Linked DNA regions of Anolis sagrei. The protein of the gene in region 1 interacts with the protein of each later gene in a pairwise test. Links are inferred from orthologs where the notes say so. Each region holds a gene or a part of one and is shown in the gene's direction. Other genes may lie near its edges. The genes, in order: BHLHE40, COX5B, AAMP and AANAT.

Evidence for each region.
Region 2: the proteins of BHLHE40 (region 1) and COX5B interact in binary tests that used the Homo sapiens proteins (3 or more experiments, as listed by UniProt). The two-hybrid records come from large-scale screens. The link is inferred for Anolis sagrei from reciprocal best matches to the Homo sapiens genes BHLHE40 and COX5B.
Region 3: the proteins of BHLHE40 (region 1) and AAMP interact in a two-hybrid assay, tested with the Homo sapiens proteins (2 studies listed by BioGRID and IntAct). The link is inferred for Anolis sagrei from reciprocal best matches to the Homo sapiens genes BHLHE40 and AAMP.
Region 4: the proteins of BHLHE40 (region 1) and AANAT interact in binary tests that used the Homo sapiens proteins (3 or more experiments, as listed by UniProt). The two-hybrid records come from large-scale screens. The link is inferred for Anolis sagrei from reciprocal best matches to the Homo sapiens genes BHLHE40 and AANAT.

The regions. Positions count from the first base shown.
Region 1 is NC_090022.1:46,308,529-46,315,512, forward strand, and holds the start of BHLHE40 (class E basic helix-loop-helix protein 40), read left to right. Parts: upstream 1-3,984; 5' UTR 3,985-4,398; coding exon 4,399-4,490; intron 4,491-4,995; coding exon 4,996-5,065; intron 5,066-6,443; coding exon 6,444-6,551; intron 6,552-6,984. UniProt on the Homo sapiens protein: Transcriptional repressor involved in the regulation of the circadian rhythm by negatively regulating the activity of the clock genes and clock-controlled genes.
Region 2 is NC_090027.1:24,180,261-24,187,516, forward strand, and holds the start of COX5B (cytochrome c oxidase subunit 5B, mitochondrial), read left to right. Parts: upstream 1-4,252; 5' UTR 4,253-4,332; coding exon 4,333-4,450; intron 4,451-7,256. UniProt on the Homo sapiens protein: Component of the cytochrome c oxidase, the last enzyme in the mitochondrial electron transport chain which drives oxidative phosphorylation.
Region 3 is NC_090021.1:228,680,116-228,687,273, reverse strand, and holds the start of AAMP (angio-associated migratory cell protein), read left to right. Parts: upstream 1-4,155; 5' UTR 4,156-4,256; coding exon 4,257-4,383; intron 4,384-6,328; coding exon 6,329-6,466; intron 6,467-7,158. UniProt on the Homo sapiens protein: Plays a role in angiogenesis and cell migration. In smooth muscle cell migration, may act through the RhoA pathway.
Region 4 is NC_090022.1:119,356,834-119,364,756, forward strand, and holds the start of AANAT (serotonin N-acetyltransferase), read left to right. Parts: upstream 1-4,903; 5' UTR 4,904-5,193; intron 5,194-5,837; exon of another isoform or gene 5,838-6,784; intron 6,785-7,923. Other genes in the region: UBE2O ((E3-independent) E2 ubiquitin-conjugating enzyme), read right to left, coding at 4,268-4,681. UniProt on the Homo sapiens protein: Controls the night/day rhythm of melatonin production in the pineal gland. Catalyzes the N-acetylation of serotonin into N-acetylserotonin, the penultimate step in the synthesis of melatonin.

The DNA.
Region 1 (6,984 bases):
GGGGGGGGGGGGGCTTGAGGGGCTTCAGCCCCCCCCCCCCCCAAATTCTCATGGTGGTTCGCGAAAAAGGCCTTACTGGTGCATTATTTAAACTGTTATTTATTCATATCATGATCTGATCACCATACTCAATATATACTCAATACAAGACAGAGGTACTCCTGGTCAGTCGCAGGGCCGAACAGGGTATAGGGCTACAGCCTGTGTTAGACGGGGTCGCACTCCCCCTGAAGACACAGGTTCGCAGTTTGGGTGTGATCCTGGATTCATCGCTGAGCCTGGATCCCCAGGTTTCGGCGGTGACCAGGGGAGCATTCGCACAGCTAAGACTCGTGCGCCAACTGCGACCGTACCTTGGGAAGTCTGACTTGGCCACGGTAGTCCACGCTCTGGTTACATCCCGCCTTGACTACTGCAACGCTCTCTACGTGGGGTTGCCTTTGAAGACGGCTCGGAAGCTCCAACTAGTCCAACGGGCGGCAGCCATGGTACTAACAGGAGCAGGGCGCAAGGAGCATACAACTCCTCTGCTGTACCAGCTCCACTGGCTGCCGATTAGCTACCGGGCCCAATTCAAAGTGCTGGCATTGGCCTTTAAAGCCCTAAACGGTTCTGGCCCAACATACCTATCCGAATGTATCTCGGCCTATCAGCCCACCAGGACCCTAAGATCTTCGGGAGAGGCCCTTCTCTCCATCCCGCCTGCTTCACAGGTGCGGCTGGCGGGTACGAGAGACAGGGCCTTTTCTGTGGTGGCCCCGCGGCTTTGGAATGCCCTCCCTATAGAGATAAAATCAGCCTCCTCGCTGATGGTATTTCGAAAAAAACTGAAAACATGGATGTTTGAGCAAGCATTTGGCTAATCCGATGCGATGAAGTTTTGACTAAGGACTGGCAATTACAGACAACGAATTTGGATTATGATTTTAATTTAAGAGATGCATTGGTCTGTATTGGTGGCCCAATACTGTGTATTGTATATATATGTGTTTTTATATTTTTTTATTCGGAATATTGTTTTATTGTTGTAAACCGCAATGAGTCGCCGTTCTAGGCTGAGATATTAGCGGTATACAAGTGTACTAAATAAATAAATAAAATAAATAAATATATCCCATATGCATGGGGGTATTGGGGTAATGATACAAAAGGTTTGCTAGGCTAGACCCTCTTTCACTCAGACTCAGCCCCCCCCCCCGAAACTCGCCCCCCCGAACCCCCCCCTGAAAAAATTTAGCCCCCTCCGAAATGAAATCCTGGCTACGGGCCTGTGGGGTTCAGAATGCTATTTGATTATCGGTGAACTATAAATCCCAGCAACTACAACTTCCAAATGACAAAATCATTTTTTTTAGTGAAGGACATACATTGAGTTATTAGGTGTCTTGTGTCCAATTTTGATGTCAATTCGTCCAGAAGTTTTTGAATTCTGTTAATCCCACAAACGAACATTCCATTTTTATTTATATAGAAAAGATAGAAGATATTACATGTAATATAAAAATATATAATTATATTATATATTTTATATTACATGTAATTATAATTATATTATATATTTATTAGTAGTAGTATTATATTGTATTACATTAGACACATCCATCGAGTCTTAGCATTGAGGGAAAACAAATGACTGCATGCCTGCTACTCTTTTTTGCAAGCAGGGCACAGCATAGCCTTGCGTACAAGTAAGAGAAGCAGCTGGGAGGCATTCTCCTGAAATCCCCTCTCCAGTGACAACGCCTGTGCGCATGCGTGGCTGCGTGATGGAGCGAGGGTGCCGCGGCTGCTTCTCCGGAACTCCAACGCGTTGGCTTTACTCCGAAGCCGCTCCTGGTCGGAAGTCCCCCTTTGGAGAGCTCCAGGCAGGGAAGGCAGGTTGAGCCTACTTTAAGTGCCACCGCTGTACCCTATGGAAGCCTGGGATCTGTCTTTGCCTGAAAGGGCTGGTGCCTCCTCCCCACACTAGAAACCCAAAAGCCAATGCCATTCTAGGCTGCCTCAAGAGGAGTCCAGTGTCAAGATCCAGGGAAGCCATAACCCCACCCTATTGGTCACAAAGCCCCCGGTGGCGCAGTGGGTTAAACCCTTGTGCCAGCAGGACTTAAGACCGACAGGTCGGGGGTTCGAATCTGGGGAGAGCCCGGATGAGCTCCCTCTGTCAGATCCAGCTCCCCATGTGGGGACATGAGAGAAGCCTTCCACAAGGATGGTAAAACATCAAAAACATCCGGGCGTTTCCTGGGCAACGTCCTTGAAGACGGCCAATACTCTCACACCAGAAGCGACTTGCAGTTTCCTGACACGAAAAAAACCTCACCTGGAATAAGACTGTGTCCATTTCTGGGCACTTCAGGATGTTGGCAGGGAAGGGTGACCACAATGAGCAAGGGTCCGAAAGCCAAGCCCAATGAGGAGTAGTTTAGGGAGCTGGGGGTGTGTAGCTTGCAGGAGAAAAGGCTGAGGGAAGGGGACATGACAGCCACCTTGGAATCAGTGAAAGGGTGCCACATTGGGGAGACTAGGACACCTTGGAGGAATGGATTCCAATGGCAGGAAAGGAGATTCCGTGTAAACGTTAGGACGAACTTTAGGAAGAACTACACTGCCTAGGAGTCGCCTTCTCTGGAGGTTTTCAAGCAAAGGCTGGATGGCCATCTGCAGGGAGTGCTTTGAATGCGATTTTCCTGTTTCTCGGTAGAGGTTTGGACCGGGTGGCCCATGAGGTCTCTTCCAACTCTATGATTCTATGATTCTGCTTTCCTTGCATGTCAAAGGCTTGGGCTGGATGTCCATCTGTCAGTGGTGCTTTCCCTGCGTGTCAGGGGGTTGAACGTTATGGCCATCCGCCGGGAGTACTTTGATTGTGCTTTCCCTGCGTGTCAGGATGTTAGACTAGATGTCCATCTTCAGGGAGTTCTTTGATTGTGGAAGAGACCTCATGGGCCATCCAGGCCAACCCCCTGCCAAGAAGCAGGAATATTGCATTCAAAGCACCCCTGACACATGGCCATCCAGCCTCTGTTTAAAACCTTCCAAAGAAGGAGCCTCCACCACACCACTCCGGGGCAGAGAGTTCCCTGCATGTCAGGGGGTTAGACCGGATGGCTATCTGCCGGGTGTGCTTTGATTGTGCCTTCCCCGCATGTCAGGAGGTTGAACTTAATGGCCATCCACCGGGAGTGTTTTTGTGCTTTCCCTGCACGTTGGGAGGTTAGACTGGATGTCCATCTGTAGAGAGTGCTTTGATTGTGCTTTCCTTGCATGTCAGGAGGTTAGACTGGATGGCTATCTGACGAGGGTGCTTCGATTGTGTCTTCCCTGCGTGTCAGGGGGTTGAACTTTATGGCCATCCACCGGGAGTGCTTTGATTGTGCTTTCCCTGCATGTTGGGAGGTTAGACTGGATGTCTATCTGCCGGGAGTACTTTGATTGTGCTTTCCCTGTCTGTTAGGGGGTTGAACTTTATGACCATCTGCCGGGAGTGCTTGGATTGTGCCTTTCCTGCATGTCAGAAGGTTGTAGTGGATGCCCATCTGTCGGGAGTGCTTAGACAGTCCCTTTCGCTGTGTGTCAGGAAGTTGGGCTGGGTGGTCCTTTGTGGGAGGCGCCTTGAATGTGCTTTCCTTGCATGCCAAGGGGTCAGACTGGATGGCCCTTGGGGGGGGGGGAGGATGTCTTCCAAGTCGAGGGTCCTCCCTGGAGTTTGGCCAGGGCTTTCTTCATGCGATGGGATAAGCGGAGCAGTTGCAGTGGGGCCAGGCCTTCCTCCTCCTCCTCCTCCTCCTCCTCCGGGGCCCTCCCAGGGCAGCCCTGGGTCACGTTTGCAGAGGCGGCGGCAGGGAAGCTCCTGGCCACAGCGGAGGGAGGGAGGGAGGCCGGAGCGTTGTCCGACACGTGAGGCTCATGTGATGAGGAGGGAGGCGAGGAGGGAGGCGGGGAGGGACGGGGGGGGGGCAGAGGAAGGGAGAAGAGGCAGGCCCGCTCCTCCTCCTCCTCTCCTCTCCTCTCCTCCCTCCCTCTCCGGCTTCAGAAGCAGCCGCGGCCAGACGTGCCTGAAGTCAGTCACAGGGCGGATCGGATCGCTCTGTCCTCCGTCCGCACCGAAGGAGGAGAAAGAGGCGCTGCAGAGACGCGCCGCAAAGGCTCTCCCACCTGAAGCACAGACAGAACTCGCCTCTCCTTTTGACCCAGAGAGAGAGAGAGAGAGGAGAACCACCAGAGGAGAAAGTCCTGTTAGGAAAAAAAGGAAAGCCGACTCAGAGAGAGAGAGACCCAAAGCGGGATCTTGGAGACTTCGGCTCCATCCTTAGAGGAAAACAGCTCACCGGAGGGAGAAGGATAGGAAGGAAGGAGAGGCAACCTTAAGAAGAGGAAGGAGAAGCCACCCAGTTGGCCATGGAAAGGATCCCCAGCGCCCAACCTCCTCCTCCTCCAGCACCGCCTTGCTTGGGCAAGCTGGCCACGTTGGAGGGCAACGAGATGCCAGGGTAAGCTCTCTATCTATCTATCTATCTATCTATCTATCTATCTATCTATCTATCTATCTGTGTGGGATTGAAATCGCTTTCCAACCAGGTTCCTCTTGGGTTGGGATGGTGCTTCCCTTGGCTACCTCTGCTCTCACTTTCTGCACCTGGGACAAGCAGTACACCTCTCAATTTCCTCTCCCTTGTTTTCCTTCTCTCCAAACTTTTCTATAGCTTAGCCCTCTTTCTTCTCACTCTACTGTGTCTACGCTTTAGAGTTAATGCAGTTTATCACCACTTTGACCTGCCCAGGTCTCAATGCTATGGAGGTGGCAGTACAACTCCAGCCCCCTTTATTCCCGAGCACTGAGCCAAGTGGCGTTGAACTGCATTCATTTGAACTGCATTCATTCCGCAGTGTAGATGCTACTTCTGTAGGTTTTGGAGAGGGATGGGGAGGATTGACTACCTTCCTGGATTATTCTTGCAAGTCATTTACATCTTTCTCCTTTTGGCTCATCAACAGGTTGGACTTTGCTCACATGTACCAAGTTTATAAACCCAGGAGAGGGTTAAAAAGAGGCGAAGACAGCAAGGTAAATACAGAACATTCGTAGCATTTTTCTTATTTATTTATTATTTACTGACTAGTATTTTCTTAGCGTCCTCAGTGAATAGTTTTCACCCAATGTGTTGTTGAAGGATTTCACAGCTGGAATCATTGAATTGTTGAGAGTTTTCCAGGCTATATGGCCATGTTCCAGAAGCATTCTCTCCCGACATTTCGCCTGCATCTATGGCAGTCATCCTCAGAGGTTGAGACCCCTCAACCTTTGAGGAAGGCTGCCATAGATGTGGGAAAAACATCAGGAGAGAATGATTCTGGAACACAGCCATGCAGCCCAGAAAACTCAACAGCAACTCAATTTTGACCCAGTTTCGTTCTGAGATTAAGTAATGGTCTTCCCAAACATATACAAAAGAGCATTCATTTTCAATGGCCCCTCAAAATTTGTTTTTGGAGACTCTATTTGTGGGGTGGAGGGTATTCATTTTTCCAAAAATGTTATTATGCTCATGGATTTGCCTTATCATGCAGCAAAACAATATCTTCATATGTTGTCGAAGGCTTTCATGGCCGGAATCACTGAGTTGCTGTAAGTTTTCCGGGCTGTATGGCTATTTTCCAGGAGCATTCTCTCCTGACATTTCACCCACATCTATGGCAGGCATCCTCAGATGTTGTGTGGTTTGTCAAAGACAAGGTAAGCAAGGTTTTTATATCTCTGGAATAGCATCCAGGGTAGGAGAAAGAACTCTTGTCTGTTTGAGGCAAGATGAGGCATGTTGCAATTGATCACCCTGATTAGCATTGAATAGCCTTGCAGCTTCAAAGCTTGGCTGCTTCCTACCTGGGGGAATCCTTTGTTGGGAGGTGATTAATTGCCCCTGATTGATTCTTGTCTGGAATTCCCCTGTTTTTGAGTGTTGATCCCCAGGCAGCAATCAGCCAGGCTTTGAAGCTACAAGGCTTTTCAGTGCTAATCAAGGTGGCCAATTGCAACATTCACACTTGCCTCAAACGACAAGAATTCTTTCTCCCACCCTGGACGTTATTCCACAGATATAAACCTGACTTTCTTAGTTTTCAATAGATTTCTCAACCTCTGAAAATTCCTGCCATAGATGTGGGCAAAATGTCAGGAGAGAATGCTTCTGGAACATGGCCATACAGCCCAGGAAACTCACTTCATAGTTGCATCAGATAATTTTCTGGAGATGATCAAAATACATCATCTGCAATAAACTTTGGGTTTGGTAATGCTGTTTTTTAAAAAACAAAAAAAAATGATCTAAGAAAATGTTTATAATTTTTTCCAATCTATTTGGACAGATAATACTATGCTCAGAAATCACTTTTCCTCTCAACTGATGAAATGGTTGTATAATTTTTTGGTACCTGTTGATTTTTAGGAGACCTACAAGTTACCCCACCGGCTGATTGAAAAGAAAAGACGAGATCGGATTAATGAATGCATTGCCCAGCTGAAAGATCTGTTACCAGAACATCTCAAACTTACAGTAAGTGAAAATCTGGCCACTGCCCAGAGACTTCTTCCTTCTGCGTTGGGCATTGGGTTGGCTTTGCAGGGCTTTTTGTGCAGGTAAAGTTGCCATCTAGAGGTTTCCTGAAGCAGTGCAGGTGTGAACGGGGAGAGAGAGTTGTCTTGTCTCGGGTTGGATTGCTTCCTTGAGCTTCCTGATAGGACTTGGTTTTGTTGCTAAGTTCATGAACCTCTGGATCGGATTGGATTTGAAGATGCAACAGGATAAGTCAAATGATTTGTTAGGGAGAGTGCATTTTGGTTTTTCTTCCCTGTTTTCCTGGTGGCAAACTTTTAAGTTAACAAAAGATTCATTTGCAGTGTAAAATTAATGCAATCTGGCTACCAACACTGCAAAACTCTAAAATCAGGACAGTAAATAAAGAATAACACTCAAAAACAGGGGAATT
Region 2 (7,256 bases), on another chromosome or scaffold:
TCCCTCTATTTGCCAGTTATCAATGGTTGCCATCATCTTGGTTTTCTTGATATTTAACCGAAACCGAACTTTTGCAGTTTCTTCTTTCACTTTGGTTAGAAGGCTCTTTGGCTCCTTTTTGCTTTCGGCCATCAAAGTGGTGTCATCTGCATATCTAAGATTGTTAATGTTTCTTCCAGCAATTTTCACCCCAGCCTTGCATTTGTCAAGCCCGCATATCGCATGATGTGTTCTGCATACAAGTTGAATAGGTTGGGTGAGAGTATACAACCCTGCTGTATGCCTTCCCCAATCTTGAACCAGTCTGGTGTTCCATGGTCAGTTCTTACTGTTGCTACTTGGTCCTCATACAGATTCCTCAGGAGATGTGATTTGGTATGCCCAGACCACCAAGAGGGAAATACATTCAGACAAATAAGCTGGGCACCACCACCAGGAGTGATATTTGGCCATTGCTCTTCTCCCAAGAAGGAAGCGTCTCCTGATTTCCTGGCTGCAGACGGCACTTGCAGTTATCTTCGTGCCTAGAAATACAGTCTGTCACTGACTCCACATTTTCTCCCTCTATATGCCAGTTATCAATCACTCTGGTTGCCATTATATTGGTTTTCTTGATATTTAACTGAAACCAAGCTTTTGCAGTTTCTTCTTTTACTTTGGTTAGAAGGCTCCTTGGCTCCTTCTCGCGTTCAGCCATCAAAGTACTATCATCTGCATATCTAAAGTTGTTAATATTTCATCCAGCAAATTTTAACTCCAGCCTTGGATTCGTCAAGCCCTGCACGTCGCATGATGTGTTCTGCATACAGGTTGAATAGGTCGGGTGAGAGTATACAGCCCTGCCGTACTGCTTTCCCAATTGTGAACCAGGAGATATTTCACTCCCATTCATTAAACAAGAGGAGCCATTTCCGGGGCTTCTTCTCTTTCTGTTTCTGCCCCCTTCAAAGCAGAACTTCTTAATGAAAAGTTTGTGCCTGGTGACCATATCTATTGAAAAATGTAAATCAGTGGTTCCCAAACTTATTTGGCCTACCCCTCTGGAAATCAATTTTTTGAAATATTTTCTTCTTTCTTTTATGCTTTCACCGCCCCCTTACAATTATTCATCGCCCCCAAATGCACCTGTGGCCATTACCGCCCCCCTGGGTCACTGCAGCACCCACCAGGTGAAAAATGACAGGAACTTGAGGGGGGTTTGGGAGGAGGGGCTTTGTTGCATTTGCAGACAGAGGCCATCTTAACATTTGGCTCATTCGTTGAGAGAGCTATGAAGGCCTTGGGGATGAAAATTCAGGATAAATTGCAGGATTCCCTTGTAGGAATGAATTTGGGTGGGAGTTAGGCCTGATGAAGCCCACTTTTGAGGGAAATCTGGTTGACTGAAGCATACTGACACCAATAAGATAGAAAGGAGGAGTCAGAAACTCATCAGCTGCTCATCCAGACAAAAAGGAAAGCAGTCTCCCTTCTTCAACTTGGAGGAAGTCCTTACCTGGCTGCTCCAACGGCTCTCTAACTCCCACCTGTTTTGAAAATCAACAAAAAGAATGCATTCCTAAAGCAGCCAATCAGAAGCAGGGCACTAAAGCTGGCGACAGGGTGAGCCAATCAGTAACAAGATTCCCCCCTTATGCAAATACAATACATTTCCAGTTTTGAATATTGATGGACTGGATTTTCAAAATGTTCTCTCGATCCTCCAGTTCAGATCTATGGTTGGCTTCCAGCAAAAGTTGACAGTAAGGTCATGCTGGATGAATCGGAAAAGCCCCATCTACACTGCCCTATAATCCAGTTTATGAATCCAGGTTATCTGCTTTGAACTGGACGATACGGAAGTGTAGATCAAGGCTAAGTCTTCCAGTGCAATTCTATGGCCAGCTCCCAGAAGACATCCACTATAAACAATATACAGTATATTTAAAATGCTTTACTTTCATTGCAAGTTTCCTCAGCTCTATAATGAACTAAAGAGGACTTTTCTCCCGAAAAACACTATAGATTTATATTATCTATGCTACACCACTCTCTCTCTCTCTTTATATATATATATATATGTGTGTGTGTGTGTGTGTGTGTATTGTATATACTTAAGTATAAGCCTAGTTTTTCAGCCCTCTTTTTAGGCTGAAAAAGCTCCCCATGGCTTATACTCGAGTCAAGGTTATTTATTCTTTTACTCTTTTATTAGTATTATTTTTAAAACCCTATACCAGATATATCCTACCTTGTTCATGCCCAGCGTTTATTTTTTTAATTTTTAAACTATTACATTTTAAACTATTACATTCCTTTTTGTCCGGATCAGCAGCTGGTTTTTAAATCCTTGTGTGTTACTGTGTATTGGTTATTGTTTATATGTGATTAATATTAATTGTATTGTATTTATTGTTTTTGTTTATTGCATTTTGTTTTTATTGATGTGTTGTTGAGCTTGGCCTCATGTAAGCCGCTCTGAGTCCCTTGGGGAGATGGTGGCGGGGTATAAAGTTTTTATAATAATAATAATAATAATAATAATAATGGCAGTGACATCTCCAGCCCATCCCCTGTTTGGGTATCAGCCAGCATGTCAACAACAGAAACAGAAGAACGGCCTGCCTCAGGGGAGCGTGCTTGCTCCATCCATGTTCAACATCTACACAAATGACCAGCCACTGCCAGATGGGACACAGAGTTTCATCTATGCTGATGATCGTGCCATTACCACTCAAGCAGGGTGCTTTGAGATGGTTGAAAAGAAGCTCTCCAAAGCTCTAGGTGCTCTTACTGCCTATTACAGGGAAAACCAACTGATCCCTAATCCATCTAAAACACAGACATGCCCCTTTCACCTTAAGAACAGACAAGCATCCCGAGCTCTGAAGATCACCTGGGAAGGAATCCCACTGGAGCATTACAACACACCCAAATATCTGGGAGTCACTTTGGACCGTGCTCTGACCTACAAGAAGCACTGCCTGAACATCAAGCAAAAAGTGGGCGCTAGAAACATCATATGAAAGCTGACTGGCACAACCTGGGGATCACAACCAGACACAGTGAAGACATCTGCCCTTGCGCTATGCTACTCTGCTGCTGAGTATGCATGCCCAATGTGGAACACATCTCACCACGCTAAAACAGTGGATGTGGCTCTTAATGAGACATGCCACATTATCACAGGGTGTCTGCGCCCTACACCTCTGGAGAAATTACATTGCTTAGCCGGTATTGCACCACCTGACATCCGCCGGGAAGTAGCAGCCAATAGTGAAAGGACCAAGGTAGTGACATCTCCAGCTCATCCCCTGTTTGGGTATCAGCCAGCACGTCAACGACTTAAATCAAGAAATAGTTTTCTTAGATCTACAGAGACACTCGCTGGAACACCTCAGCAAGCGAGAGTCCAAAATGGGCAGGCTCCAACCCATCACTTCAATCCGTGGTTGATACCAGATGAGAGACTCCCTCCTGAGCACACAGAAGACTGGGCAACTTGGAAGGCGCTGAACAGACTGCGCTCTGGCACCACGAGATGCAGAGCCAACCTTAAGAAATGGGGCTACAAAGTGGAATCCACGACATGCGAGTGTGGAGAAGAGCAAACTACAGACCACCTGCTGCAATGCAACCTGAGCCCTGCCACATGCACAATGGAGGACCTTCTTGCGGCAACACCAGAGGCACTCCAAGTGGCCAGATACTGGTCAAAGGACATTTAATCAACTACCAAGCTTGCAAAATCTGTGGTTTTTGTTTTGTGTTTGTTTTGTTCTGTTAGGAATGTAATCCAATGGTCTAGTTGCTGATAAATAAATTATTATTATTATCATGATTATTATTATTATGATATTCTAGGAGCTCTAAAAGGGCCAGAGTTGCCTGAAGTTTATATTCTCATTCCAGGGAAGCCATACATGAAGTTCCTTTTCCCCTCAGCCTATAAGAATCCTATAAGAAGAGTGACAAAACATAGCCCAGGCCTAGCTTGTTCTCCAGACCCTTGATCATTTTAGTTGCCCTCTTCTGGACACATTCCAGCTTGTCAATATCTCTCTCCTTCCAACCAGGTAAATTCCTTCCCTTCCTCTCCACTCCACTCCAAAATGGCGCCTCCCTACTGACTGGAAAGAAAGGAAACTTCACTCCCAGGCCACGCCCACGAGGCAACGTGTCCAATGGGTGTGCAGCTTCGGCGGTTACGGCCACGCCCATTGAGCGGCGCGTCGGAGGGGTTGCTGTTGGACAACGGTTGGTTAAAACGGCGCCTGCGTGGGAGGAAGTCCCTCCCCCGGAAAGCGGAAACAGGCCTGTGGACAAGGCCTATTATAGCTCCTCGCGTTCCCCATGGCGTCAAGGTTACTCAGGGTCTGCGGCCTTTTCCAAGGGCTCGCCGCGGGCCGGAATGCCCTCCCTCTAGGGCCGCTGCGCCTGGCCGGAGCCTCTCGCTGCATGGGAGCCGGAGGTGAGGCTGGGTTAGGGCATTTTCACACAGACTTTGGCCAACTTGGGCCTTCCCTCCAGGTATTTTGAGCTTCAACCCCCGCAATCCCTAACAGCTCAGGCCCCTTCCTTTTCCCTCCTTTGCACTATTTGAAGCTTCTGAACCGTCTTAGAATCAAAGAGTTGGAAGAAACCTCATGGGCCATCCAGTCCAATCTCATTCTGCCAAGAAGCAGAAATATTGCATTCAAATCACCCCTGACAGATGGCCATCCAGCCTCTGTTTAGAAGCTTCCAAAGAAGGAGCCTCCACCACACTCCGGGGCAGAGAGTTCCACTGCTGAACGGCTCTCACAGTCAGGAAGTTCTTCCTCATGTTCAGATGGAATCTCCATTCTTGTAGTTTGAAGCCATTGTTTTGCGTCCTAGTCTCTAAGGAAGCAGAAAACAAGCTTGCTCCCTCCTCCCTGTGGCTTCCTCTCACATATTTATACATGGCTATCATGTCTCCTCTCAGCCTTCTCTTCTTCAGGCTACACATGCCCAGCTCCTTAAGCCGCTCCTCATAGGGCTTGTTCTCCAGACCCTTGATCATTTTAGTCGCCCTCCTCTGGACACATTCCAGCTTGTCAATATCTCTCTTCAATTGTGGTGCCCAGAATTGGACACAATATTCCAGGTGTGGTCTAACCAAGGCGGAATAGAGGGGGAGCATTACTTCCCTAGATCTAGATACTATGCTCCTATTGATGCAGGCCAAAATCCCATTGGCTTTTTTTGCCGCCACATCACATTGTTGGCTCATGTTTAACTTGTTGTCCAATATAAACGGAGCCCCCAGTGGTCTTTTTCACACGTACTGCTCTTAGGCAGCCCCACATAGAGTGCATTGCAGTAATCAATTCGAGATGTAACTAAGGCCTGGACCACCGTGGCCAAGTATGGCTTCACGAGGGTTTTTTTTGTTTGTTTGTTTTGTTGTGTCAGGAGTGACTTGAGAAACTGCAAGTCGCTTCTGGTGTGAGAGAATTGGCCGTCTGCAAGGACGTTGCCCAGGGGACGCCCGGATGATTTGATGTTTTTATCATCCTTGTGGGAGGCTTCTCTCATGTCCCTACATGAGGAGCTGGAGCTGATAGAGGGAGCTCATCCGCCTCTCCCCGGATTTGAACCTGCGACCTGTCGGTCTTCAATCCTGCCAGCACAGGTGTTTAACCCATTTCACCACCAGGGGCTCCATGGCTTCCCGAGGTACAGTTGATATACAAGCTTTTATTGTACACTGAGGTTTTTTTCAGTGATTTTACAAGTGATGGTCACTTGTTAGCCTGATACGTGTACTGTGCCCAAATTTGGTGTCAGTTGGTCCAGTGATTTTTGAGTTATGTTAATCCCACAAATGAACATTACATTTTTAATTATATAGATACTAGCTGTCCCCTGCCACGCGTTGCTGTGGCCCAGGCTGTTGATCTGGAAAATAAAGTAATTAGAAAGTGTTGGTTTCTAATATATGTAATTTCTTTATGCTTGTGGGTAAACAGTATTTCTTGCTGTTTCTTTGTCAGTGTTGATTTGGAGATTGTCTGGTTTGCCTGCTCTGGAACATGCAACATATCATTGTCCTTTTTAGGGGTCCTTTTCAAATCTATGGTACTATATCTCTCTCTATGTGAATCATATATATCTATCTATACCTATGGCTGGATGCCTCTTTGTCAGAAGGGCTTTGATTATGTTTTCTTGTCCTGATGAAGGGAGTTGGACTGGATGGCCTTAAGTATGAGGGTTCTGTGTGGGAAGTTTGCCCCAATTCTGTCGTTGGTAGGGTTCAGCGTGCGCTTTGATTGTACGTGAACTATAAATCCCAGTAACTACAACTCCCAAATGTCAAGGTCTATTTTCCTCAAACTCCATCTGTGTTCATATTTGGGCATATGGAATATTTGCGCCAAGTTTGGTCCATATCCATCATTGTATGAGTCCACAGTGCTCTCTGGATGTAGGTGAACTACAACTCCCAAACTCAAGGTCAATGCCCACCAAACCCTTCTAGTGTTTTCTGTTGGTCATGGGAGTTCTGTGTGCCACATTTGGTTCAATTCCATCATTGGTGGAGTTCAGAATGCTCTTTGATTGTAAATAAAGTACGTATAACACCCAGCGACTACAACTCCCAAATGACAAGATCAATTTTTGAGTTATGTTAATCCCACAAACGAACATTACATTTTTATTTATATAGATAGGCCCTCCTTGCATTCCAAAAAAAATTCTTAAGCCTTTGAGCAATACATATAGTGATTCGAATGTGACTGATGAGACTGGTAATGGACTGATCTTGGATCACGATTTTAAACTCAAGATATTTTAGAATTTTAAATCTTGGATGTTTATAATTGTTTTAATTGTTTTTTAATTAATTTCTTAATTTAATGTCCGGCATCTAGTGGTGGCCTATTGTAAACCACCCTGAGTCCACCCCTCGGGGGTGAAAAGGACGGAGTATAAATACATGAAATAAATACATGTGGGCTAGCCAAAACTATGGCTAGGTGGATCTGTAATTGGTTAAGTGAATGAACCCAGTGGGTGATTCTTCCCAGCGCTTCTTCTTCATTCTGGAAAGAAATGACGAGTGGCGTATCGCAGGTTTCCATCATGGACCTGGTTTTGTTCAACATCTTTATTAATGGCTTAGATCAGTGGTTCTCAATCTGTGGGTCCCCAAGTGTTTTGGCCTACAACTCCCAGAAATCCCAGCCAGTTTACCACCTGGGGATCCACAGGTTGAGAACCACTGACTTAGATTAGGGGTTAGAAAGCAT
Region 3 (7,158 bases), on another chromosome or scaffold:
TTGTTTCAGAGTTCAGCAAACACAGATTTTATTTAAAGCCCAGATCACAAGATCCTATTTCTTCCCAGGGTCGTGTTATTTTCTTGGTTTTGAGCATAGCCCGTGTATGGAGAAGTTTCATGGCCCAATAACAGGAAATAATTTTAATATAACTATAATTTCCATTGGCTCTTGGTAGTGTGGCTAATGCTAGCAGATGGTAGGAGACACCGTCTAAAACTGGAGAGTCACACAGTTCCTACTCCCTTCCCGTCTTTCTCTCAGACAGGTTTTCCCAACATTCTATGCTACGAATAATTACAAGGCTAGGAACACTGAAGTGTTAATAAAGCAAACAGAAAATGCAATGCTCACCAAGCAATAGCAACTGGCTTCATAGGGTTCTTGGCTTTCTTTGGGGGAATATATTCCACATCTTCATAGACCTGTCTACCAGGCTGTGGCTTTGTCTGCACTTCTTTCCACACCCTGTGGCTTTTGTTGATGGATCTGGCTGGTGTTTTGAAAGGCAGAATAAAGCCTGCAGCTCGATTCACAGTGGCAGAAACAAGGCCTGCAAGGGGACAAGCTACTTGCATGAGATTGTACTTCTGCTAAAAGTTTCAACAAGATCCTCTATCAGTGCTGCCTCCAGACTCAACAGCGGATCTGAATTTGTGCATTGTGTCAGTAAGCGGAGGAACTAAAATTACAAACACCTAAAATGTGCTTGACAGGCTCATCTTATGTATGTTTACCTCACAAGGTTCTGTGAGACTTATTCCCAAGAAAGTATGCACAACAGTACAAAATTAGGCTGTCCTGAGAGCTAACTAATTTAACATTTTGCATCTGTACACATAATGCAAAATATCCTTCTAAGGTGCCTTATAATTTATTGTAAAATACCTGTGGCATTCTCAATCTTTGGAAGAAATTAAAATATATTTTAATGTAGTGGCCAATGGACATGATTGTTAAATGTTCTAAGAAATTTTATAGCAGAGATTTTTGATGGGCAAAATTCTCTTCAGGACAAACATATTGCAACATACCACACCCTGCTTTACATTTTGCTATTGGGGCTTGCGCTGTGCCATGTTTGACTGTCGGAGTATGACTTTGGGGACCAGGGTTTGAATCATTGCTTGGCCAAGGGTGATGTTGGGCAAGTCTCACTCTCTCAGCCTCTGAACAAACCTTGCCAAATGTTGGGATTTGGAGAGCTCTCTTGCAAAGATACCTCAATATTATATGAAAACAGAAATCCCAATTCAGGTGAGATCAAAGTACAGTGTCAATAAAGTCTCTTGACCATTTGCTTTGCTGTTAAATGGTAAATTGGCTTTATGGACACCCTGTACAATAATTGTGTACTAAGGGACCAAAGACAAGGAAACACTATCTTCCTCTGCTTCTGTTTATATCTTAGGAATGACCTCTCACAGTGCATCGAGTAATAATAATAATAATAATACTTTATTTATATTCCATCTTATCTCCCCTGGGGGACTTAGGGTGAATTCCAACAAACAAAAAGTCAAACGTTCAATGCCTCAATAACAGTAAATACAAATATAAAAACCCACGATAACCCCACATAAAGAGCAACTTAAGTATAACAACTATAGTTTAAATAAAATGTAATCAATTGAAAATTATAACTAACATAGAATTTAAACATAACACATCCAAATTAATATATCAGTACAACATGAAGGTTTACAAATGTGTGCATAGATTTTATGGCCAAAGTTGTTAAATGGGCTAATGTGATCTTACAAGGCCCGAGTGCATTTATACTATCTAATCAGCAGTCTCTTCATCTAATCTTCCTCCTCTCCATACGCTTGTGAGAAAGATAGGTTTTCAGCTGTTTTTTTTTTTTGATAGAGAGAAGGGAGGGATCCAGCTTTATTTCTTTAGGGACTTCCAGAGGAGGGGCGATCACGGAGAACACTCTCTCATTCCCACCAGCCATGTTTGAGATGGGGGTTGGGACCAAGAACAGAGCGTCCTCCGATGACTGCAGTGCCCGCGTTAGTTTGTAGGTGGAGATGCGATTAGTTAAATAGCTTGGACCCAAGTCATTAAAGGTAATAACTAGCACTTTTTATTTAGCCCGGAAGCAGACCAGCAGCCAGTGGAGCTGCCGTAGCATGGGAGTGGATCTTTCCCTGTACAGGCCTCCAGTTAGTAATCTGGCTGCAAACTTTGAACCAGTTGAAGCTTCCAAACTATCCTCAGAGGCCACCCCATGTAGAGTGTTGCAGTAGTCTACGCGGGATGTGACTAAGGCGTGGATTACCATGGCCAAGTCTGGTGTCTCTAGGTGCAGCTGGCACCAAGTTTTAAGTTGTGCAAAGGGGCTCCTAGCCACTGCCGACACCTGAGGTCACAGGAACAGCGATGAGTCCAAGATCAGCCCCAGACTGTGGACCTATGTCTTCAGGGGAGTGTGATCCCATCCAACACAGGCTGTTGGATGGGGTCAGCCATAAATATCATTGGATGACGGCTGCTGTCTCCGTATAACTAACCTCACAAAACTGCTATATAGTGAAAAGGAGGTTTCAAAAAACTATTCATGCACCATCATTCTCTCAACTTCGGGAAGTGATTGGTGGTAGAGAACCTTGGACTTCCAAATGTCTTTCAACCATCTTCAGCATGATGGGCACTAGAGTCCAAACACACTTCTACAAATCCTTTCCTCTAGTCGTGCTATTACTAAATAAATACTGCTGAAGGTAAAGCATCCCTTATCTGAAATGCTAGGGAACAGATTGTGCTGGATTTGAGACCCAAATCCAAACCTAAAATCAATTTGTTTCATTGACAACCAACCTGAAGGCAAATCTATGCACTATTTTTTTTAATGTTGTGCATGAAACGAAGTTTGCGCACATTGAGCGGCCCTAAAGGAAAGGTGTCACTTCCTCAACCACTTATGTGGACCATTTTGGATTATGGAGCATTTCGTAATTCTTGAGGAAGGATTCACAAACCACGGTGTCCATTTTCTCCCCTGAGAGCCTCCCTCCCATTCTCTTTCTCCTCCCTCCTCACACGCCAGCCCAAAATCCACTCCAGAAACAGCCTCAGACTCCCTCCCTACCCTGCACGCGAAGACAAACAGCCGCCATCTTGGGGGACGCTCTCTAGGCCCTTCCTGATGCATGCTGGGTAAGACCGAGAGCCATAGGCAGCAGCAGAGGAACTTGAGACTACAACTCCCTTGACGCCCTTCGGCCTCCCTGCACGGAATTGGAAAGTAGCCAATCAGAAGGGCCTATTGATTAATTGGTATTTCCCCTCCCCCCTTTTTAACCCTCTTCATTGATTGGTGTAGGGATGTTAGCTCCTCCCTCTACCTCAAGGTGAAGAGCAAAGCGCTTCGAGGAAATAAGGCCTGGCTCGGAATGTGAAAGTAGCCAATCAGGAGGATCGTACCAATGAGTTAGGGGATTGTCCCCATTTATTCCCTTCATTGATTGGTGGAAGGATTTTGGCTCCTCCTCCTCCTCCCTCATGGTGACAGGCAACGCAGAGAGCAAAGCGGCTCCTTGGAAATGGGGCCTGGTTTGGAATGTGAAAACAGCCAATCAGATGGACCGTAATGATTAGTTGGTATTCCCGCCTCCCTTTTACCCTCTTCGTTGATTGGTGGAGGGATGTTAGCTCCTCCCTCTACCTCACGGTAGAAAGCAACGCACTACGAGGAAACGGGGATTGGCTAGGAAGGTGAAAGTAGCCAATCAGGAGGATCGTACCAATGAGTTAGGGGTTTGTCCCCATTTTTTCCCTTCGTTGATTGGTGGAGAAATTTGGCTCCTTCCCCTCCCTCAAGATGACAGATAACGCAGAGAACAAATCGGCTCCTAAGAAATAGGGCCCGGTTTGGAATGTGAAGGCGACCAATCAGGAGGGCCGTACTAATGACTTAGGGGAAGGTCTCCCTTTTTTTATTCTCTTCATTGATTGGTGGAGATATTTTGGCTCCTCCCATTCCCATTCGTGACAGGCCACGCAGAGAGCAAAGCGGTGCCTAGGAAATGAGGCCTGGTTTGGAATGTGAAAGCAGCCAATCAGGACGGCCGTACTGATGAGTTAGGCGTTTGTTCCCATTTATTCCCTTCGTTGATTGGCGGAAGGGCTTTGGCTCCTCCTCCTCCTCATGCCTCTCGAGGGAGGGGCGGGCGGAAGAGGAGAGCGGCTGGCGAGATCAGGGCCAGGTGCCGCGTGTGGCGTGTTGTGGAGTCCAGCAGGCAGGCGGCATGGCGGACCCTGGCGGCGGGGAAGGGCCAGAGCCGGCCCCGGAGGGGTCAGGGGCCCTCCTGCTCGTGTCAGGCGGCGGCGCGGAAGAGATCGTGGAAGTGGTGGACCTGGAGCCGCCGGGGCCCGGTAAGAAGGGCCCAGAGCCTCTGAGGCTGAGAGAGTGTGGCTTGCTCCACGTCTGAGCAGGGATTCCACCCTTGGCCTCCTAGAGTCTGAGTACCCAGGCATGGGCAAACTTCGGCCCTCCAGGTGATTTGGACTTCAGCTCCCACAATTCCTAAGTTTGCCCATGCTTGGAGTAGGGAAACTTAATATTCTAAGGGGTTGTGGCATTAGGAAGGCTGAGAAACACGGATCTAGAGCTTCAGAGAGCTTCTGTTCAACCATTTCCAAGCTCCCTGCTAGAGCGGTGATGACATGATCGTCAGCATAGATGAAACTCTTTGGCACTTCTGGCAGTGGCTGATCATTTGCAGGGATCACCACAACATGAGGAGCTGTATGAAGGGGTCACGACATTAGGAAGGTTGAGAAACACAGACCTAGAGCTTTGGAGAGCTTCTGTTCAACCATTTCCAAGCTCCCTGCTAGAGCGGTGATGGCATGATCGTTAGCATAGGTGAAACTCTTTGGCACTTCTGGCAGTGGCTGATCATTTGCAGGGGTCACCACAACATGAAGAGCTGTATTAAGGGGTCACGACATTAGGAAGGTTGAGAAGCACTGGTCTAGATTCTCTTCTGACAAGCCCTGGAAGGGAGGACAAGGGGGTGATTTCTATTTTGCTCTCTTAGATGTGCTGCTTTCCAGGAAGCAAGGAATGGAAACATTTATCTGTCCATCTGTGATCCTTGTTCCTTTACAGATGGGAGGGGTCTCGATGTAGATTGATTGTCAGTATAAGCAAGACAGGAATCCTTGCTGTCATATCTAAAAGATAAGGGAGATTGAAAACAAGAAGGGGAGGCCCTGCTCTCGGTCTGCCTCCTTTTCAGGCATGACTGGTGGGAACGAGAGACAGGGCCTTCTCAGTGGCGGCTCCTCAACTATGGAACTCCCTCCCCAGTGAAATCAGATCAGCCCCTTCTCTCCTGACCTTCAGGAAAACAACTTAAAAGACATGGTGTTGGTACCAAGTTTTGACAAATAATTGGAGCAGTGCAATAAATGACTATGAAACAATGTGATTGACAAATGGAACGGCCCTGGATTATGCTTTGGTTGGCATGATTTTAATTGTTGTTTCAATAATCCCATGTTTTAATTATTTGGTTTTAATTGTAATTATTGATTTTATATTTGTGTGTACGGCATCAAATTGCTGCCTGTTGTTAGGCTGCCTTGAGTCCCCTTCTGGGGTGAGAAAGGCAGGATATAAATATAAATATGGTAAATACATTAAATAAATAAATTAAGAAGAAGAGCTAGGTGCTTGTTTTTGTTAGGGCCAAAACCTTTGGATCTCATGTCATTTGGGGCAGGGTGGGGGTGGGGGCACTGAATATTAGGAGTTCCTATATCTAAATCTTGTGTAGGATGATAATAATAGTAATAAGAATAATAAGAGATCAGCCCTCTCCCTCCTAGCCTTCAGAAGAAAAGTAAAAACTTGGCTGTGGGATCAGGCTTTTGGAGAATAGTGCTGTGCAATAACAGATTTGGAATATGTGCAGTGACCATGGAATGGCTTGGAATACGATTATGGATGTCATGATTTTAATATGGAATGTCATGTTTTAAAATATCTAATATGTATTAATAACTTATTTTTAATCCTTAATTTTAATTTTGGAATTGTATGTGTTTATGGCATTGAATAATTGCCTTGAGTTCCCTTCAGGGTAGAGAAAAGCCAGGTATAAATAGAGTAAATAAATAATACGTTTGCAGGTATGAATTCTTGACCCCTGGTTTCGGACTGATGTGGACTTTTGAGTGGTATCCTCCTCTTTCCTAAAACTTAGTGTATGCATGTTTGGGGTGGTGGGTGGGGTTTCTCACATTGCAGTGAGAAGAACTTGACACTGAGTTGTTTCAAAAATCTATGTCCCTCTTCTCTACTTTTTGGCAGATGATCTGGCTGATGAGATGGAAGATGTGGACCTCGACGAAGAGCAGGGCGCTTGGGTGACTGAGGAGGAAGATGAGGGAGTGGAGGAGGGCATGGAGGCCCAAGATGACAGTGAGGTCACCTTCTCAAAACATACTGGTGAGCTAGTAGGGGAGCCAGAGCAGATTTCCTACTTCATTAGCTGCTCTCTCTGGATCTTTCTTTTCCATCCTAAGTGAAAACTGCAGGTGACTCTATGTTGTGTTTAGTTGGAAGGCAGGAGTGCAGTTGGGGGTCAGAGCACCTCCTAAAGCACTGAAATAAGTTGTGTGACCTAGCTGCCGCTGTGGTTGATATTTGTTGCAGTTAGACACACTCTGCCATCCCCCCACATTTGGCTGATATGTAAGGGAGTTCCATGTATGTTCAAAAACTATATTTCCTTGATTCATGTGGGATCACTTGGGCAACTCCTTTAACATTGAAACTACAAGCAAGGACTGTGTCACCTGACAATATAGCTTACTCTCTCTTTTCTGCCTTCTTTTTGCTGCACCTCCCTGCCCTATGTTTACTGTATTGTGTTCCTGGATTGAAAGCTGCTGGGACCATTTTTGATTCTGGCTTTAAGTTCCCAAGGCGGTGTCTTGAGATAACAAGATATGGGGGTGATCCCAGGGTATTTCATTAGTTATTATGATCTCTTTGTTTTACTGTATGTTGGCAATGATTTTTTGCCAATAGTATGTTGTAAACCACCGTGAGTCTCCCCAGAGGTGAGAAAGGCTTTGCATTAATACAGTAAATAAATAAATATTTCAGGCCATTTTAGTTCCTCTTGTTTGGATGCT
Region 4 (7,923 bases), about 73 Mb from region 1:
TATACTTTTATTTACTCCTGTCTAAAGAAAGTTAAGAGCTATCACACTGTAGTAATTTGAGTGTTGAACTAGGACTCTGCAGACCAAGGTTAAAATCTCCATTAGGACACAGAAATCTACTGAGTGACCTTGGGTAAGTCATAGCCTCTCAAATCAAATCAAATCATTTATTTCGGTCATTGACCAGCACAGGAAATAGTCACATTTTCATACAAACTTGGTATGTTTGGTACATTAAAAATATAAATATAACTACTGAAGCACAATATGGGTGAGGGAGCTGAAGGGAAGGGGAAACAGGGTAAAAAGATACAATGCCCAGACAGAGTACAAAATTTGCATACCCTCTCAACTTCAGAGGAAGACAAAGACAAATGTCAGGTGAACAAATCTTGACAAGAAAATGCAATGATATGGAAATCCTAAGGTGAGCCAAACTTGGAAATAGTTTGAAGGCACACAACAACCAAAAAGACTTGAAAGCACACTATAATTAGGTTTACTGTTTTCCCCAAGTGACATCTTACAATTTTAGCCTCACTATGAAACCAAAAAGCCTGAGTAAAAATAAGACCCTTGGGAATAATTTAGAATTTATACAGACCAAGCTTTGTCACAGAAAGCCTATATCCAAAATTTTAAATATTCTCAGAATCTATGTGAAAAATTATGAATATCTATCTTTTTAGGGGGTTCCAGGGCTTTTTTTAATATTGTCATTGCTGATTTCTTTGCTATGAACTTAATGGATTTAATCACAGCCAGAAAAGAAGTGTCTGGTCATAGTGAATGCATCGCATTATTCTCAAAGAAATACACATGATTTCAAGGCCAAGGACTGCTAATAAGAATATGAGTAGTACATACTTTCACTTATCACAGCATATCCATGCCACTCCTTCTCAAGATACACACAATGCATCGGTCCTCTCATATTACATCTGGGCCCACCCCTCACTCTCTTTTGTTCTACATATTTGGAGTAAGTCATTCTTCTCCATAACATTTGAAAACCTAACATAGAGTTCACAGAATATTAGTATCACTCTCAATATTTCAAATGAGATGCAAGTTAGCTATTTGACATGTACACTGTTATTTTTTAAGCAATTCATGTCAACTTGTGTCTCATGATATAAATACGCCCTTCAGTTTTTAATTATGCATAATTATATAACATCAATTATGCATACTGGAGCAAAGACAATGTTTTCCCTCCTACCCAAACAGTAACCTTTTTTTTTTTTTTGCTCCAACCAACAGTATTTAACCATTAATACCTTCATTTTAGAAGGCTTGCTACATTTGCTTCTCCTACACTACCAACCACTTACTACTATAGTGGCAACTAACAACAAACTCCCCCTATGCCATAATATAGTTCACTTCCAAGAATATTAATATTCTCAATTAATACATTGAGGCATCACAAGTATTTATAGTTATCCAAACATTTGCTAAAAATAATGGTCTCCAGTGATGTTTTTTCCCTCTTAAATAAGTTCCATCCCCATCCATATCTGAAACCATGCAGTAAAAAAATATGAACTTCTGCAGAACAGCAATACCAATCAGCAGATGTCACTGCAGAAGAGTCTGAGAGACCACGTCCAAACTCCTGACTACCTGAACAACCCGCAAAACACAGATTGCAGGGAAGGCCTGGAGCATTCAGGATGCTGAATAGAAGCATGTTGCCTAACAACATATTTTTTAAAATGGTGAAAGAAGTCTTCTAGAATATTATGGTGGGAGAAGGGGGAGCACAGAATGTAACCTATTTGGGGGACAGGGAGAGAGAGAGAGAGAGAAAAAAAATATGATTTTCTTTCCAAAATAGAAAACTGTACAACCTGTACAATGCAATGTGGACAATGTAAGGCAGCTTTTTCAGAGCACACTGGCCTGAGATAATACAGTATTTATAATATCAATCAATAGTAGCATTCTTGAAGGAATGTATGTATGCATATATGCATGTGTGAGCTATACACGTGAGTGTATATACAGTATATATATGTACACATGTGTGCTTATCTATGTATGCATACGTATGTTTGAGTGCATGTATGTAAATATATAAATGTGCATACAAAGAGTGGGCCAAAACTCACAAAGGCATCTAATGTTTCAATAATTCTTTGAAATTTTTGTTTGAAAAGATTTTATATATAATGTAATTCAATTTCATTTCCTATATATTCTATATATGCTTTTGTGAACATTGTAAATTAAAAACAAAGCACAAAGGAATTATTAAATATTGAAACCCCTTTGTGACTTTTGGCACACTCAGTATATGTGTGGGTGTGTATATATCTGTATGTAAGAGAGAAAGTATATATCTTTAGCAATATTTATTTGTGTGAGAGTATGTATATATATGTGTGTGGGTGTGTGTATAGGGTACGTATGAGGGGATGGATGTGTATCTATATATGTGCAAATGTATATATGTTTTTGTGTATATATGTGTATGTGTGTGAGAGAGAACCTATGTGTGTATATGTATATCTATATCAATGTGTGTGAGATTGTGTGCATAATAATAGTAATACATTTTATTCATTATCTGCCTTCCCTGATGGCTCAAGGAGGGGTACAACTAATTAAAAAACAAACAAACAAACATAAAAATACATGGCCTTGGACCATTATTTCTGGATTATGTGATTTTACCATTTATATTAATATGTTTTAATTCTATGTTTTAATGTTTAAATGTTGTTAGGTTTGTATGATCTAATTGATAGTTATATTATTCTCGCTTTATGTTAGGTTTCATATGTATGCGAGGCATTATGTTTTGTCAGAAATATGTTGGAAACCGGGTTGCTATAAGTTTTCCGGGCTGTATGGCCATGTTCCAGAAGCATTCTCTCCTGACATTTCACCCATATCTATGGCAGGCATCCTCAGAGGTTGAGAGGTCACAACCTCTGAGGATGCGTGCCATAGATGTGGGTGAAATGTCAGAAGAGAATGTTTCTGGAACATGGCCATATAGCCCGAAAAACTCACAGCAACCCAGTGATTCCGGCCACGCAAGCTTTCAACAACACATGTTGGAAACAGCTTTGAGCACACACACCCCCGAGTGAGAAAAGCGGAATACAAGTGAAGTAAATAAAAATACAATAAATTACTAAATTGCATTGCCAAGCACAGACATTTGAAAACTTATACCAAACACTGCTACAAAATTGACATATATTTATTTTGCATATTTGTATCCTGCCCTTCTCACCCCGGAGGGAGGCTCAGGGCGGCTTGACAACTTTTTTTTTTTTGCATTATTTCTATCCCGCTCATATCAGCCTGGAGGCGACTCAGAGCGGCGTACACAATCGGCACAATTCGATGCCATAAAAATACATACATTGATAAACAAAAGAACCATTATAGTGCAATTAGACATAAGCCAGTGCATAATAACAATATTAAAAGCTATAAACTATATCCTCTCATTCAAGTCCTTATCAGTTCCATCGTCTTGGGCCGTTCCAGAGTCATTTTCCAATTCAAGTTTGTCAACAGGTATTCATTCAATGCCAACAACAGTAATAAACAATAAAAGCAATTAGAACATAAAATTACTCAAACATTGTTTAAATCACACAGGTTTGAAATTGTAGTCCAGGTCAGTCCATTGTCATTCACATAAATTGTGTCTCATTCTCAATTGCTGCCTCTACTACTGTTCGAATGCTGGGTAGAGAGTTCCACAGGCGAGGGGCCACCACTGAGGAGACCCCATCGCTCACCCACCTCCGCCAGTCGTGGCAATAGAGTGCAAATCAAAACACATGATAGCAAGTTGACTGGGTAGGCCTGCCAGAAGGGATGGGTGTTGAGTTTGTTTAGCTGTTGGAGCTCTTCCGCAGGTCATTCCACAGTCGTAACTGTGTGTGTATATATCTGTATATATATATCTGTATGTGTGTGTGTGTGTGTGTGTATATATATATATATATATATATATATATATATATATCTGTATATATGTGTGAGGAATACACACACACAGAGGGAGAGCATGTCCCCGTCCTTTCTCCTCGCTCTCCCTCCTTGCCACCGCCCTCTTTCCTCGCCAACTTTCCTTTAAGACCCCCGACCCTCCCTCAGGTTCCTCAGGGCGGCCCTTCCTCTTCCTCCTCCCCTGCCGCAGCCCCCACCAGGCCCACGCCCACAGAGGGCCTGCTGCTGCTGCTGCTCCTGCCTCGGCATCTCCTTTCCCCCGCTCCTTGCCCACTCGGGAGGGGCCTACCTTGGTCTCCTTGACGTGCTGCTTGATGCCCTCGGGGTACCACTGGACGCGCACGTAGCCGCGGCGGAGGGGGCTCCCGCGGCCTTCTTCCCCTCCTCCTCCTCCTCCGGGGCCCCCGGACTCCGAGCCCGCCGAGCTGCCCCCTCCTCCTCCTCCTCCTGCTGTTGCTGGGCCTCGTCCTCCTCCCCCTCCGCCCCCTCCTCCTCCTCCTCCCCCGCCGTCGTCTTCCTCAGAGTCGGAGTCCTCGCCGTGCATGACGCGGACCAGGCCGAAGCGCACCGAGCCCCTGTACTTGCCGGAGACCAAGTCATGGGTGAAGAGGAGGCGCTGCGAGCCGCCGCCGGGTGCTGCTGTTGCTATTGATGGCGGCGTTGGAGATGGCGGCGTCCCGGTGGTCGGTGGCGGCTCCGCCATGGCTGAGGGGGGAGGAAGGAAGGAAGGAGGCGGGCGGAGGGAGGGAGGGAGAGAAGCAGCAGCAGCGACGGCGGCCGCCTGGCTCACTCTCGCTCACTCGCTTGCTCGCTTTCCCGGCGCGCGCAGGCGCAGTCCGCGTTCGGTAGGGGGCGGGGCTCCAAGATGGCGACGCCTCGCGTCAAATAGCAAAGCGAGGAGGGGGCGGGGCCAAGAGCAGCCTGAGGAGGGAGGGAGGGAGAAGGGGAGAGGGACGGGCCTACATCTTCCTCTCTGAAGGGGATGGAGGTGGATGGAGGGAAGGCCTCGGCGCCTGAGAAGAGAGGGAAGGCAGCTTTCACAACCGAAGAGGGCTGTGGCACACAGCACAGAAAACAGGGAGAATCGCGAGCGTGTCTCTGTGAGGAGGAGGAGGGCTCCAGAAGGTGCTCACAGGCCTTTGATGCCTCAAGTAGAGCATCATAAGATGGCGCCCCTTCCCACCCTACGAGGCAAAGCAGAGGCGGAGCTGACAGGTGCTCCCCTTCCCTAGTCTTGGCGCATCCACAAGACAGAATCCATGCAGTTTGTCTGTAACTGCCATGGCAGAATGCTCTGGGATCCTGGGAGCTGGAGTTTTACAAGGCCTTTGGCGTTCTTTTAAAGCAGTGGGTCCCAACCTGTGGGTCCCCAAGTGTTTTGCTCCACAACTCCCAGAAATCCCAGCCAGTTTACCAACTGATAGGATTTCTGGGGGTTGAAGACCAAAACATCTGGAGACCCACAGGTTGAGAACCACTGCTCTAAAGAGTGGTGGTGCCTCGGCAAGCTCCAAATTCTAGGATTTCATGGCATTGAGCCGTGATGGTTCAAATGGTGGGGAACTGCCTTCATCTCCAGCAGGCATGGGCAAACTCCCCCTCCCCCCCCCCCCCTCAGGTGTTTTGGGACTTCAACTTCCACAATTCCTAACAGTCTCAGCCCCCCTTCCTTTTCCCTTTATTTTATTTATTTACGACATAAATAAAATATCTCTGAGTCTCCTCCTCACCCCGAAGGGGACTTAGAGCGGCTTACAAGATATGCATACAATATATTATATTATTAGCATAGTACAATATCAGTATTAAATATTACTATATTATACATGTAATATTAGTAATATTACATGTAATAGAAATATATAATTATATTATTATATTGCATTACATTATTATAAATATTATATGTATATACACAATATATTATATTATATGATTAGAATAGCACAGGAGAAAAGGTGGAACTGTGTTCTGCCCCCCTCCCCTTCACTGTAGCCCAGAGCGGCAGTTGGTGCTGTGGGGAGGGGTCCCCAGCTGATGACATATGCAGGAGACAAGATGGAACTGTCCCCCTCTCTCTTTACTCTGGCCCAGAGCAGCAGTTGGTGCTGGGGGAAGGGGTCCCCAATTGATGGCATTAAGCTTTTCTGCTTAAGCGGCTGAGAGAGAAAAGGAAAAGGCCTGAGGCTCTTAGGAATTGTAAGAGTTGAGGTCCAAAACACCTGGAGGGCCAAAGTTTGCCCATGCCTGCTACAGATGAAGGCAGTTCCAAACCACTGGAACCATCACTGCTCAATGCCATGAAATCCCAGGATTTGGAGCTTGCCGAGGCACCACCACTCTTTAGCAGAGAACGCCAAAGGCCTTCTACAGTGTAGTAGAGGGACCTTTGGGGGTGGGTCTCTACCTCCTTCCCTTTTTGTCCTCCTTTCCCCAGTGTCTGCCCCCAAAGGCCCCTACCTGGCTTTGTTCCCTGTTAGGGGCAGGAAGTAATTTGAAGTTGGCTGTCCATGAGTGTCTTGCTGAAGATGGAGGGAGTGGCTCTCAAAATGGGAAGGCGGACAAGGAGTGAAATGGAAAGCAAACGAACAAAGATAAAATGGGAAAAAGAGGATTTCAAATTAAGCCATCTGTTGTGCATTTGCCCCCTTTGTCTCATTCTGGGTCTGTATTGTAGCTTAGGCCCAGAGAAAGAATCATGGGGAAAGAGAGCCAGTGTGGGGCAGCGATTTGAGCATAGAGTGAAGACCGGGAGACCAGGGTTCAAATACCCACTTGGCTGTGGAAACCCACTGAGTGACCTGGGGTAAGTCACACTCTCTCAGAGGAAGACAAAGGTGCCCCCTCCTCCGAACAAGTCATGCCCCAAAAGTTTGTGATAGGTTCACTTTAGAGTTGGTATACTTCAGAAATGACTGAAGACACACAACAGCAAAGATGCAGGAGGAGAAGGAGGGAAAGTCTTGGTGGGGGGAGTAGAAAATTTGAGCCAAAGCATAAACACAATGATTAAATTGATGGCTGCAAGAGTGTGGATATGAGGAATTGAAGGCATGGGAGAGAAACATTGTCTGAAGAGCAAAATCGAATACACTCAATTTCAAAGGTTGCTTTGAAATTTGAAAGTAAGGAGGAGAGAGGTGTTTTCTTTACCTAATAAAAATAATCAGGGTATAATTTTGGTACTATTATTGTGATGTTGAAAACCCTTAAAGTCTGGTATGGGAATAATTTGAGTGCACTACTCTCAATTAACTCCTTTGGACATCCATCACTGCTAGCTTAGATGTAAAGCAAATTGAGGGAGTCTAATTGTGACATGGAAATTCAGAAGCTGGGAAGGCAATGGGAGTTTCTGGAGCTAATGTCTCATGCTCACAAGAGTCTAATGGTCATCCTAGTGCAAGAGGTCCTGATATAAAAGCCCAATTAAGTAGAAGCTGTGGGGAGTGAAGCTTTGTTTCTGTATAGAGAAAAAAATGAGATAGTATTAATGTTATAAATGTAGAGGCAGTATAGTGATTTTATTGAGAGTTTAGCATTAATTTCTTAATTGTACAAAAAATCTCGCCCCAGGTCTTATTCATTATCTTCAATGTGTTTAGCAATCAAGGCTGGCAGTGTAATTTTGTACAATATATTGTGCAAGTATTTTAACAGAATAATTTAAATATGAGGCTTTAACAGCCATTCTTAAGATTTATTCCCAGTGCAATTGTTGCATCCTTCCATGGACATGAATATAGTATAAATGGATAGCTGCAACTAAGGGAAACATAAAAATAATTTCTTAAGATCTGATTAATCTTACAGTTATAAAAGATAACCCACATACCCAAGTTATAGAAGGGTATCCACGTGCTCTACATTGAAATCTCTATGTTGTTCCTAGGAACAAGTGTGGAGATTCATATTACTAAGGTGCACAAAGCTCAAGAAGTTGCT